2 linked regions of the Drosophila melanogaster genome follow. The protein of the gene in region 2 interacts with the protein of the main gene of each other region in a biochemical or structural test. Each region holds a gene or a part of one and is shown on either strand. Other genes may lie near its edges. The genes, in order: JIL-1 and Su(var)3-9.

Region 1 (4,842 bases), on a different chromosome or scaffold from region 2:
TACTACATCTTAATTATCGAGATAGATAGAAACTTTGATGAATTGAATTTTAATCGAAACTAGAGAAGGTTTAGTTTTTATCTAGATTTATTTTATTCGATTTATAAACAGCTGTTGTGAAAACCTCTTGACAAAAACGTTTACTTCAAAAAGGTGTTACTTTCCACACCAAAATCCAGACCAATGTCCTCAGTAAATAATATTTATTTAAAAATGCAACCGAAAAGTGTCAAATTTAACAAATAACAAGCAGCAACAATAGGTTTTCGACCCACGGTTATCAAATTAGACATTTGGGTGGTGGATATTCTGTCTGCTTTGTGTATATGTATGTAGAGTGTGGTGAGAGGTGAGTACGGCGAGGTTGGGCGATTTCAGGGGAGGTCAGTAGTTTTGGATTTGGCCCAAAGAGCGAACAAAGCCGGGTTGAGTTTTCTGGGTAATCGTGTCAAGGTTAAATGCATGTGCTCCACTTTAACAAAGAACGATAGAGACGGCACTTCATCTGGCATTGACCAGCCACCCTCTGCCGACATTTCAATAAAACCTTGAGACATCCACCCGGTTAAAGTTATCAATTATTCCACCACACTACCATGTTTGATAAGCTCTGTGGCAGCTGCCTTAAAATGGCATGAAATATTCACAGGGAAGAAGTTGCGGTTTAATTTGATATGGACGGAATTATTAAACTATCATATTTAACATAAGTACATCCTGACCTGCAACTTGTAACAAATTTTCTTATCTAGCTTGTGCTTGCAGTTGGCCCGGTCTTCTTTATCACTATCATTGAGTGGAATGACTCACCGTAGTATTTCAGATCGGTGACCGCCTCCAGGTCCCGTTGATGGGCCTCATTGTCCAGATCAAGGGGTGTACTATTGCTGGTGGGCATGGCGTAGGAGGGCGTGGTCGACGAGGAGGCCTTCGAGGCTGCTGCTGCCGCTGCTGCAGCCGCCGCCGCCGCCGCTGCAGCTGCATTGTTGGACTTGGCCTTGGACAAGCTGGAGCTGGATTCATCGATCTCTATCCCGTTCGGCTCATCCTCCTCCATGTCCTGGTCGTAGTACTCCCGCTCGGGATCGCGTCCGTCCTCGCTCTCCGCATCCGATATGCAAACAATATCCGCCACATTTGTGGTGGGCGGGGATGGAGGTGTGGGCGGTGATATGGTCTCGCGGTAAGTGTAATCCCTTGCAGATGCTGAAGTGGTCTTGCTGCTGCTATTGGTGTACTGACCGTTGGTGGCACTGATGCTGTTGTTGTTATTGTTATTATTATTGTAGTTCAAGGTCTTTCCAGAACCAGAGCCGGATCCCTCCGTATTCAGTTTGGACTTTTTCCCATTGGTCATCGTTTCGGAATTGCTATTCTTTCGCGTTTTGCCATTGCCATTGGCTACCAGCTGGCCATTTAGATGATTCCGCACCATTTGATCTGGCTCCTCGTAGGCTAGTGACTCCGATTCACGGGGATGTTGATGATTCTTGAGGCGCGACGTACTTGTACCGCTTAAGATCTCGTAGTTTTGCTTTTGCAAGCGACTCATGGCTAGATTCTTCCGTAAAAGATCCTATGCCTTTAATAATGCTCTACGTGCTCCTCACGTAATCGATGGATATTCCAGGAATTAACAAATAAAAATAAAAAGGTCCAGGGACTGATCGTGGCGCATCGTTGAGCTGGAAAAACAGAAATCAAAGTAAAGACATTTTTTCGAAAATCGCTAACAATTTGTAGACAATCATTAAACTTTTTGACACATTCTTATATGAGTACTGACATAAAGTTGTCATTTTGGCTAGCTAGACTGTTTTATTGTTGTAGTATTTTTAATTAGAAACTGAATTAGTTTTTTCTATTCATGGATGTTCAACAATGCATAGACAACATGTACGATATAAATGTTCCAGTTCACACATTTTAAATACTAAATAAATAATAACTGAATTGTTGAAATTTATTCCGCAAGATGTTTTGAACATAGCTGTTTCTTATTGTGTTCTATTTAGGCAATCTTCACCGTACCTTCCCAATGCCCATTGCCCATTTCTATCCCATTTCTTCATCCACAATATGGTACAGTTTCAACGCAGGCGGGAGTAATTTTCCCGCTGTTAGCGGACAATTGGATGGGGAAACTCATTTCTGAATAGAACACTATTTGGGAGTTCGACTCACCTCGCGAAAGATTATAAGCGCAATATTATAATGCAGACGAAGAAATCCGAATCGGAGTGTGTGTGTGTGTGAGTGGGTGGATCTGGATGGGGAGGGGGAAGAGTGTTGGATTATGCGTGGGGCGGTAGCGATGTGCAACACTGAACGTTCCAATGATAATGTGCACCGATTTATGCAGCACTGGCGTTGGCTTAAATATTATTCAACCAATTCGGTTGCGGTTTCTTTTCATTCTTCTTTTTTGCTTGTTATATTATGCCGTGATTATCACAATCTTTATCAGTCGCGCATTTTTCACTTCCACAGTTAGTTTTTTATTTTTTTTTTTCGATTTCTTATTCTTTACCGTTCTCTTTGCCCACAACTACGTACACATATGCACACTCACACGCTGGCACTTTCTGTATCGGCTGCGTTTTTAAAGCGTTTTTGTTTTCGTCCGCTGATTCCGCTCCGGCGACTGTTGCTCTCGATTTTCAATGGATTTTCCAATTTCCCTGCGTACGCTTGTACTTGTTTTTCAATAGACAATACAGTAACGTTTTGATATTGAGATTGAATGTTTTGTATAATTTGTTTTGTGTTACACGAGAAGGTTTTTACCGCCGCTTTCTACTCGTTTACGCACACACACATTGAAACGCAGGACGCTCTCCGCCATCTGCTTTGCTCTCATTCGTGAACACTTATTAGGTACGGACCACCTTGATGGGAATCGCGTCGATTTCCGTTACACTCGATCAAATCGGGTTTATATCTGTATTATAGTACAATATAATACAATTAAAATCGAGAGAGCCCTAAAACGATTAATGCCGGATAATTGGCTATTTGTAATTTCAACACACAGCACACGAACCGCACGTAGAAATTTTCCCTTTGCTTTTGTGTCACTTACCGTAGCTATCGTTATCGATAGTGTTGACAAGAGGCCAAAAAGCGTGGTGCTGGAAAGCAGCCGTATATCGGTTGGCAGGGATGGTGGAGACTATCGTTTCAAATATTTAAGAATATTATATTTTGATTAACAATTATAATGAAGAATAAATTTAAGGAAAATGTGAAAATTTCGTTTATCAATAGAAAAAATATAAGAATTACCATAAATTTTAGTTTGGTTTTATTGAACTATTTCGTAAGCTGCACGGACGTAAATAAACCTTAAAAAGTAACCATAATATTTGACAAATTCTTTCTCGCCAAGTCGGGAACTGTGCATCCATCTTTCGGATAACCAACGGGCAGTAGGATGAGTAATTTTTCATTGACGGGTCGCCCGAGCAGGTTTCTCAAGGCTGGACCGCAGTTCAAAGGAGTGGTGACCAGCGATGCGAGTCCTGCCGCTTGAAGGGCACACAAAAGGATACCGGCCGCAATCGAAGTGGATATCTCGTTGTAGTAATGCCTCCTCATTCGCTTTCCATTCTCCGACAATCCATAGGTCTGCTTGAAGATCAGTATAAGGTACGGCGCCTCGGTGAGATACTCCTTGACATGATTGGTTTGCAGGGGTCGCAGATCGGTGACCCACTGCGGATGCATCCTCTGGCTGTAGTTGACCAGCTCCTCCTGTTCCACAATTTCCCGAATGGATCGCTTGAGTTCCGGCTCCTGTACGACGCAGTACGTCCAGGGTTCTGTGTGTGCGCCACTGGGAGCTGTTCCCGCCGCCCGAATGCAGTCCTCTATCACGCTGAGATCCGGTTTGGGATGGCTATTAAAGGAGCGAATGCTACGGCGTCCACGCATGAGTTCATATAAGCGTTTGGCTCCATTAGGGTTGAGATTCTGGCCGGGAACGAAGGGCACATGGGGCTTATCCTCCAGAGCCGGTTGCAGTTCATCGCCAAGATCGGCAAAGTGTTCAACTGGAAAATAGAATAGAATAGCTTTATGTTCACCGTGGATAATCTTAAAACTTACCCTCCTCCTCGACTTGTTCATCTAAATTATATGTTTTTAATACGCGATTCCCTTTAAAAAACAATCTTTTTACGATCCATATCAGCGCCAGAGTGATAAATAAACTTGGCCAATGCTTGAGTAGCTTGGAGCTGCTGATCAGTTCGTCCACATCCATGGTGCTTCAAGATGTAACTGCTTTTGCGACGGAGAGAAAGTGGCTTTGCTTTTGCGCTCGGATTGGCTTATCACTTGGTTAAGTGGGTCACGGCTATTGCTGATAGCGATGGATGCTGGTGGATGGGTTTTGGTTTCCACTTCAGTTGTTGTTCCGGCAGCAGTAGGTGCAATGGCTGCCCTTGTGATGCTCGCACATCCTCTGTTGTCCCTTTTCGTGGGCACTCCTATCCGACATGCATTTTGGATTCTTAAGCATCTGATTGGGCTCACCCGGTTTTCGTTTTTGCGGCGGAATCGGTCGGCGTGTATTGTTGAGTGGAATGGCCTTCTGGTGAACCAATTGGCGCTTGTGCACCTCTCTCAGAATCTCGATGATCCGCCACTTGGCATCGAAGAATATAAAATCGGGAGCAGTGGTTAGCTCGGTACGTATCATATCGCAAAGCATCTGCACTTGCTGGCTATTCGCGGATTCCTGACCGGATGGTTCCTTCTCCATCAAGTGAGCCGGTTCTTTGCTGGATTCAGAAATATCTGAATTTTGCGGACTGGATACGGAATTTCGCGTAGATTGTG
Region 2 (6,040 bases):
TTTGCTATTAAATAATTAATTAATTAATAAATATTAATTAATAAAGTAATAAATTATTTTATAAACATCGAATTGAATACTTTGGTAATTCTTTACTTACATAAAAAGACACGGCTTGAGATTCGATTTACGTCTTTTTATTTGTTTTAAATTAATTTAATGGTGATTCTCATTTTCTGCTGCTCTTTAATGGATGTATGACTTTTGCTTATTTCGAAACCTAAATATGTCCTTAAATCGTTGCGAATATGTAAATGTTGCATAACCATCGGGAAAACTATAGTTGCCAGTGGTTATAAACAATGTGGGCCTTCGGTTGCGAGCGATTTGAAATTGCATTAATCAGTTTACTTGTCATCTAAAATGGTTGGTTAGGTGGTTAGTAAATTCCTTCTGTTCAAAAGGCACTCCATTAGCTTACCCTCATCCTCTTCCTCTTCCTCGCCTTCTCCATCCTCACCGTCCTCGTCGTCAAATGCCTCCTCATCATTATCTTCGTTGTCCTCCTCGTCCTCGGGCTCCACCTCGATATCAGGTACCAGATAATACTGCAGTGGATTTGGCCAAAGGTCGTCTTTTATCAGTTCTGCGATCTCGTCGTTGACGGGATCGGTGTTATCCGAGAACCAATCGAAGAAGGTTTTGTATTCGGAGTTGCGCTTCTTCTTGTTTCCGTACGGCTTTGTCAGCAAAAGTTTTAGCAGGTTCTTTCCCTCCTTCCATTTGATGGGCGTGCTGGTAGACGCGGGCCAGTCTCCGTTCTCGGAAGCAGCTTTAATTGAAATAGTAATGGGTTAGCTAAGCGGATTTGAATCAATCGTTGGGAGAACTTACCCGCTGAATTCAGGTGGAACTCTTTGGTGAGCACCTTGTTTTCGAAGTAAGGATTCTCGTCGAAATGGAAGTTGATGCGGTAACCCGATTTGATGTCCTCAAACTCCTCAACCTCAAGTTTGTTGAGCGCGTGCAGGCACTCCTCCTCCTCCTCGTCCAGAATGCCGGATACTTGCGGGTGGTTGATAAACTGCAAATATGGCAGTTGGGATTAGCTAGGGGATGCATGCTATCAAGCAGAAAGCCATGTTTATGGCCCCTATGGCACTACTTTTCTTTTCAATTATGGCAGCAAATATTTCAGTGGTTTTTGATTTGAAGCCATTTTGAACTGTGCTATGTTGTGTATTTCCCGGCCAGACGGATATATCGATAGCACGATTTTTCCGGGAGGGGGAAAATGCGCGGGGAGCCGGTGGTGTCGGCATTGCAGCCCAAAGATGAACAAGAAAAAATGCCTCGAATAGAGAAAATTTCTTGTACATGTGTGCAGCGATTACCATCACTTCAGGGCTTCGAAAGATCTAGTCGGCTCCACTAGAACCCATCAGACGAACACGCGGAGGGGACAAACATGGCCGCGGATCGAAGTACTCACCGAGGTCACCCAAAAGTTGGGGATGCGCTTGACCAGCTCGCTGCGCTTCTCGTAGCAGGGCTTCCGCAGCTTGTTGTACTTCTGCTCCACCTTGAGGATCTCCTCGCTGGCCTTCTCGTTCAGCGCATCGATCTCGTTCTGGCAGGCATCAATTTGCTCCAACGCCTCCGACTCCTCCTCGTTGTTACCGGCGGCGGCGGATGTGTTGCCATCGGCGGGGGCGCCGTCCAGCTTGGCTCGCTTTGGCACGCTCGACATTCTGCACGCTCTTCCGTTGTGTGTACGCTCGTAATTCCCGAGATATTTGAACAAAAAGCGGCGGTACAGTTGAGCAGAAGAGAAGCGAAGCGGATTTTTAACCTTTCGTTTGCGGCTGAAGAACTGTAAGTGTATCGATAGGGCGGCACTCTATCGATACGCATCGCAGTTGGGCACCGGTGTGACGTGTCCAACACTGGCCAACCATGATTAGAGCACTATCGATAGGCATTGTCGGGTCCAATCGTTCTTCGATATCGAGATTTGATGCCGAGCTGTAATAGCTGAAAATTATTATTTTCATTTTGCATACGCATCGTTTTTGAAAACATCAGCAACATGGCCACGGCTGAAGCCCAGATCGGTGTGAACAGGAACTTGCAGAAGCAGGACCTCAGCAACTTGGTAAGCAGCCAGCAAAGACGACCGCCAGACGCCGCCTTCCCTTTTTTTCCGCCCGTGTGTGAAAGTATACGCGTCGTCATTATGGAGCCGCTTCCCGGAAAAACAGCGGGGTGCGGGTCGCAAGGACGCGCCCAGATTGTCTCGAACGGTTCGCGGACCAATTTCGAGGGATATACCAGTGGGTTTCGCCAGGGCCAGCAGTGATTTGTTGTGGGTGAGAGATCACGGTGAAAATGCAGCACGTGGCGCTACATTTAGGGTCTGTTTGGTTTATCCCGCAACTTTGGCTCTGCATATGGGCATGATGCGGACTCTGGCGGTATTTGGGCTCTGGCAAGCAGATCAGTTTCGCGAGGACTACCTGACTGTTGTCATCAATTTTGAGTTGATGCAATTCAAGCGACATTCTAACCTCAAAATTGACGGCTTTCCTATATACACACATGCATCTGAGAGGGGATGTTTTGTTAGGGGGTGTGGCGGCGGTAAACAAGACTTGTGCTCTGATTTTCCTCTATTAAAGCGCCTTTATTTATCGTATTGCATTTGGAATCTTGCAGGACGTCTCTAAACTAACGCCTCTATCACCGGAGGTCATCTCCCGACAGGCGACCATCAACATCGGCACCATCGGTCATGTGGCTCACGGCAAATCCACGGTGGTCAAAGCCATATCCGGCGTGCAGACTGTGCGCTTCAAGAACGAACTGGAGCGCAACATCACAATCAAGCTGGGTGAGTCAGGGATCCGTGTAAGCTAGCCTAAGCATATAATCTTAAGATGTATTATTCTACTTGATAATAATTTAGCCGTATGTTAATTCTTCCTGCTCGCCCGTAAACCCCGTAGTGCCCTAAGATTGTAAACCTTCTCGGCTGGCCGAAAATAACCCATAATTATCTTAAGAACCACTTTTTAACACCGTATCGCGACGGCACACCGCGTAGCCAACTCTGTCGCTGCTTTACATCGAGATAATGTTGTAAAAGGGTTCTGCGAATGATTGTCTCTTGTAATTCGAATTCTTGTGTATTTTGTTAACTTAAATTGCTGGATTAGCACGCGTTGCCTTGTGTCGTCGCCTAAGTAGTCTAAAATGATAAAAGAAGTTGTCTTTAGAATGTTGTACTTTACAAAGCTGAATTAAAAAGCGTTCCCAAAGATTGGTATTAAGCATATCTTCCTGTTAGCTTAGTCTTGAATCTGTTACATTGATTGATACGACTGATCCAGCAATTTAATTAATTGCCAATCTTTTTCTTCTTTTTCCCTATTTCTCTTGTTTTTACGATTTTTTCGGTTGCGACGCGTCCGCCAAATAAAAAAAAAAACACACCAAACCCATCATCCAATCCACAATTGTCCAAAACTTGTCATTTGCAGAACGCTTGAGCGAAAAAAAAATCAAAAATCTTTTGACCTCCAAGCAGCAGCGACAGCAGTATGAAATCAAACAGCGTTCAATGCTGCGCCACCTGGCCGAATTGCGGCGACATAGCCGATTCCGCCGCCTCTGCACCAAGCCAGCTTCGTCTTCCATGCCAGCATCCACCTCCAGTGTAGATAGACGCACCACCCGGCGAAGCACCAGTCAGACCTCACTGAGTCCAAGCAATAGTAGCGGCTATGGCAGCGTTTTTGGCTGCGAGGAACATGATGTGGACAAAATACCCAGTCTCAACGGATTCGCCAAACTGAAGCGTCGACGCAGCAGTTGTGTGGGCGCCCCAACTCCCAACTCCAAGCGGTCGAAAAATAACATGGGAGTAATTGCCAAAAGGCCGCCCAAAGGAGAGTACGTTGTGGAGCGTATTGAATGCGTCGAGATGGATCAATATCAGCCAGTCTTCTTCGTCAAATGGCTGGGATACCATGATAGCGAGAACACCTGGGAAAGTCTTGCCAACGTGGCCGACTGCGCCGAAATGGAGAAGTTTGTGGAGCGGCATCAGCAGCTCTACGAGATATACATAGCCAAGATAACCACTGAGCTTGAGAAGCAGCTGGAGGCATTGCCACTAATGGAGAACATTACGGTGGCCGAAGTAGACGCCTATGAGCCACTCAATCTGCAGATCGATCTTATACTGCTCGCCCAATATCGCGCTGCTGGCAGTCGAAGCCAAAGGGAACCGCAGAAAATTGGAGAACGAGCCCTGAAAAGCATGCAAATCAAGCGGGCCCAATTTGTACGACGCAAGCAGTTGGCTGATCTAGCATTGTTCGAGAAGCGCATGAATCATGTGGAGAAACCGTCACCGCCAATACGTGTTGAGAACAACATTGATCTGGACACCATAGACAGCAATTTCATGTACATACATGATAACATAATCGGCAAGGATGTGCCCAAGCCGGAAGCGGGGATTGTGGGCTGTAAGTGCACTGAAGACACAGAGGAGTGTACTGCCTCTACGAAGTGTTGTGCCCGCTTCGCCGGCGAGCTGTTCGCCTACGAGCGAAGCACACGGCGCTTGCGCCTTCGTCCCGGAAGTGCCATCTATGAGTGCAATAGCCGCTGCTCGTGCGATTCAAGCTGCTCCAACCGTCTGGTGCAGCACGGACGCCAGGTACCGTTGGTGCTGTTTAAGACCGCCAACGGCAGCGGATGGGGGGTGCGAGCCGCAACTGCCTTGCGTAAGGGTGAATTTGTGTGCGAGTACATTGGAGAGATCATCACCAGCGATGAGGCAAATGAGCGCGGCAAGGCGTATGACGACAATGGGAGGACATATCTGTTCGACTTGGATTACAACACAGCTCAGGATAGCGAGTACACTATCGATGCAGCTAACTATGGCAACATCTCGCACTTTATCAATCACTCTTGCGATCCTAATCTCGCCGTGTTCCCCTGTTGGATCGAGCACCTGAATGTCGCGCTGCCGCACCTCGTGTTCTTCACACTGCGTCCAATCAAGGCGGGCGAGGAGTTGAGCTTCGACTACATTCGCGCGGACAACGAAGATGTGCCCTACGAGAACCTCTCGACAGCTGTGCGTGTCGAGTGCCGCTGCGGAGCTGATAATTGCAGAAAGGTCCTCTTTTGAATGGACTTGAAGTACTATATTTAAATGGCACGCCGTTACCCACCTGAGACATCATTGCATTGAACCTTTTTTTTTTTTGTTAACATATATATATATTACTAGTTGGATTTTATATTCCGACGTTTTAATTATTTATTTGTTAATAAATGCTAATATCGATATATTGGATCTATATTATGTTTGAGGATCTATATTACTAGAGGATAAAACGAGTAATTCTATATAGTTTGTACTTGTATACATTTCATAAACTTAAATTTTAATTTAGTAATAACTTAGTGTTTTGACAAACAACCTTGTAATGTGCTGAAATTATTACCGCATTAAGTGCAAATTATTATTTTACAATAAATATTTTACGATTATTAAGTGATGTTTGTTTGTGGCTGTATAAATGATCTGGAAGGATCAAAGAAATGAATTTAGTTAGCAATAGCACTTAATTCCTTGTGAAGAACGAAGGATTATTTTACGTGTTTGCCAGGCCAGGAGTTCGAAGAATGTATTGTAATATTCTTCATAATTATTATCGCATTGCTTTTAGGTTATGCCAACGCCAAAATCTACAAGTGTGACAACCCCAAGTGCCCGCGCCCGGCCAGCTTCGTATCGGATGCATCCAGCAAGGACGACAGCTTGCCCTGCACTCGGCTCAACTGCTCCGGCAACTTCAGACTGGTGCGACATGTGAGCTTCGTGGATTGCCCCGGTCACGACATTCTTATGGCTACCATGTTGAACGGTGCTGCTGTGATGGACGCTGCTCTGCTGCTCATTGCTGGTGAGTAACCCTGGATCTCTCTGAACCGACAAAAGATATACAAATTACTACCTATTCCATGTGCAGGCAATGAATCCTGTCCACAACCGCAAACCTCTGAGCATTTGGCCGCC

Evidence for each region.
Region 1: of the proteins of Su(var)3-9 (region 2) and JIL-1, one has a biochemical effect on the other in vitro, tested with the Drosophila melanogaster proteins (one study listed by BioGRID).

Annotation. Positions count from the first base shown.
Region 1 is NT_037436.4:11,090,088-11,094,929, forward strand, and holds the start of JIL-1 (JIL-1 kinase), read right to left. Parts: upstream 3,107-4,842; 5' UTR 2,185-3,106; intron 1,770-2,184; exon of another isoform or gene 1,686-1,769; 5' UTR 1,553-1,685; coding exon 811-1,552; intron 1-810. Other genes in the region: Iyd (iodotyrosine deiodinase), read right to left, coding at 3,346-4,052, 4,108-4,264; CG46439 (uncharacterized protein), read right to left, coding at 4,406-4,842. UniProt on the Drosophila melanogaster protein: Phosphorylates 'Ser-10' of histone H3. May regulate gene expression by establishing or maintaining the structure of more open chromatin regions. Also required for normal polytene chromosome structure, for oogenesis and for viability throughout development.
Region 2 is NT_033777.3:15,259,337-15,265,376, reverse strand, and holds Su(var)3-9 (suppressor of variegation 3-9), read left to right. Parts: upstream 1-1,918; 5' UTR 1,919-2,029; coding exon 2,030-2,095; intron 2,096-2,439; exon of another isoform or gene 2,440-2,538; coding exon of another isoform or gene 2,539-2,580; intron 2,581-2,655; coding exon 2,656-2,830; intron 2,831-3,479; coding exon 3,480-5,146; 3' UTR 5,147-5,513; downstream 5,514-6,040. Other genes in the region: Set, read right to left, coding at 348-358, 422-772, 835-1,024, 1,433-1,690; eIF2gamma (eukaryotic translation initiation factor 2 subunit gamma), read left to right, coding at 2,030-2,095, 2,656-2,830, 5,691-5,927, 5,994-6,040. UniProt on the Drosophila melanogaster protein: Histone methyltransferase that specifically trimethylates 'Lys-9' of histone H3 using monomethylated H3 'Lys-9' as substrate.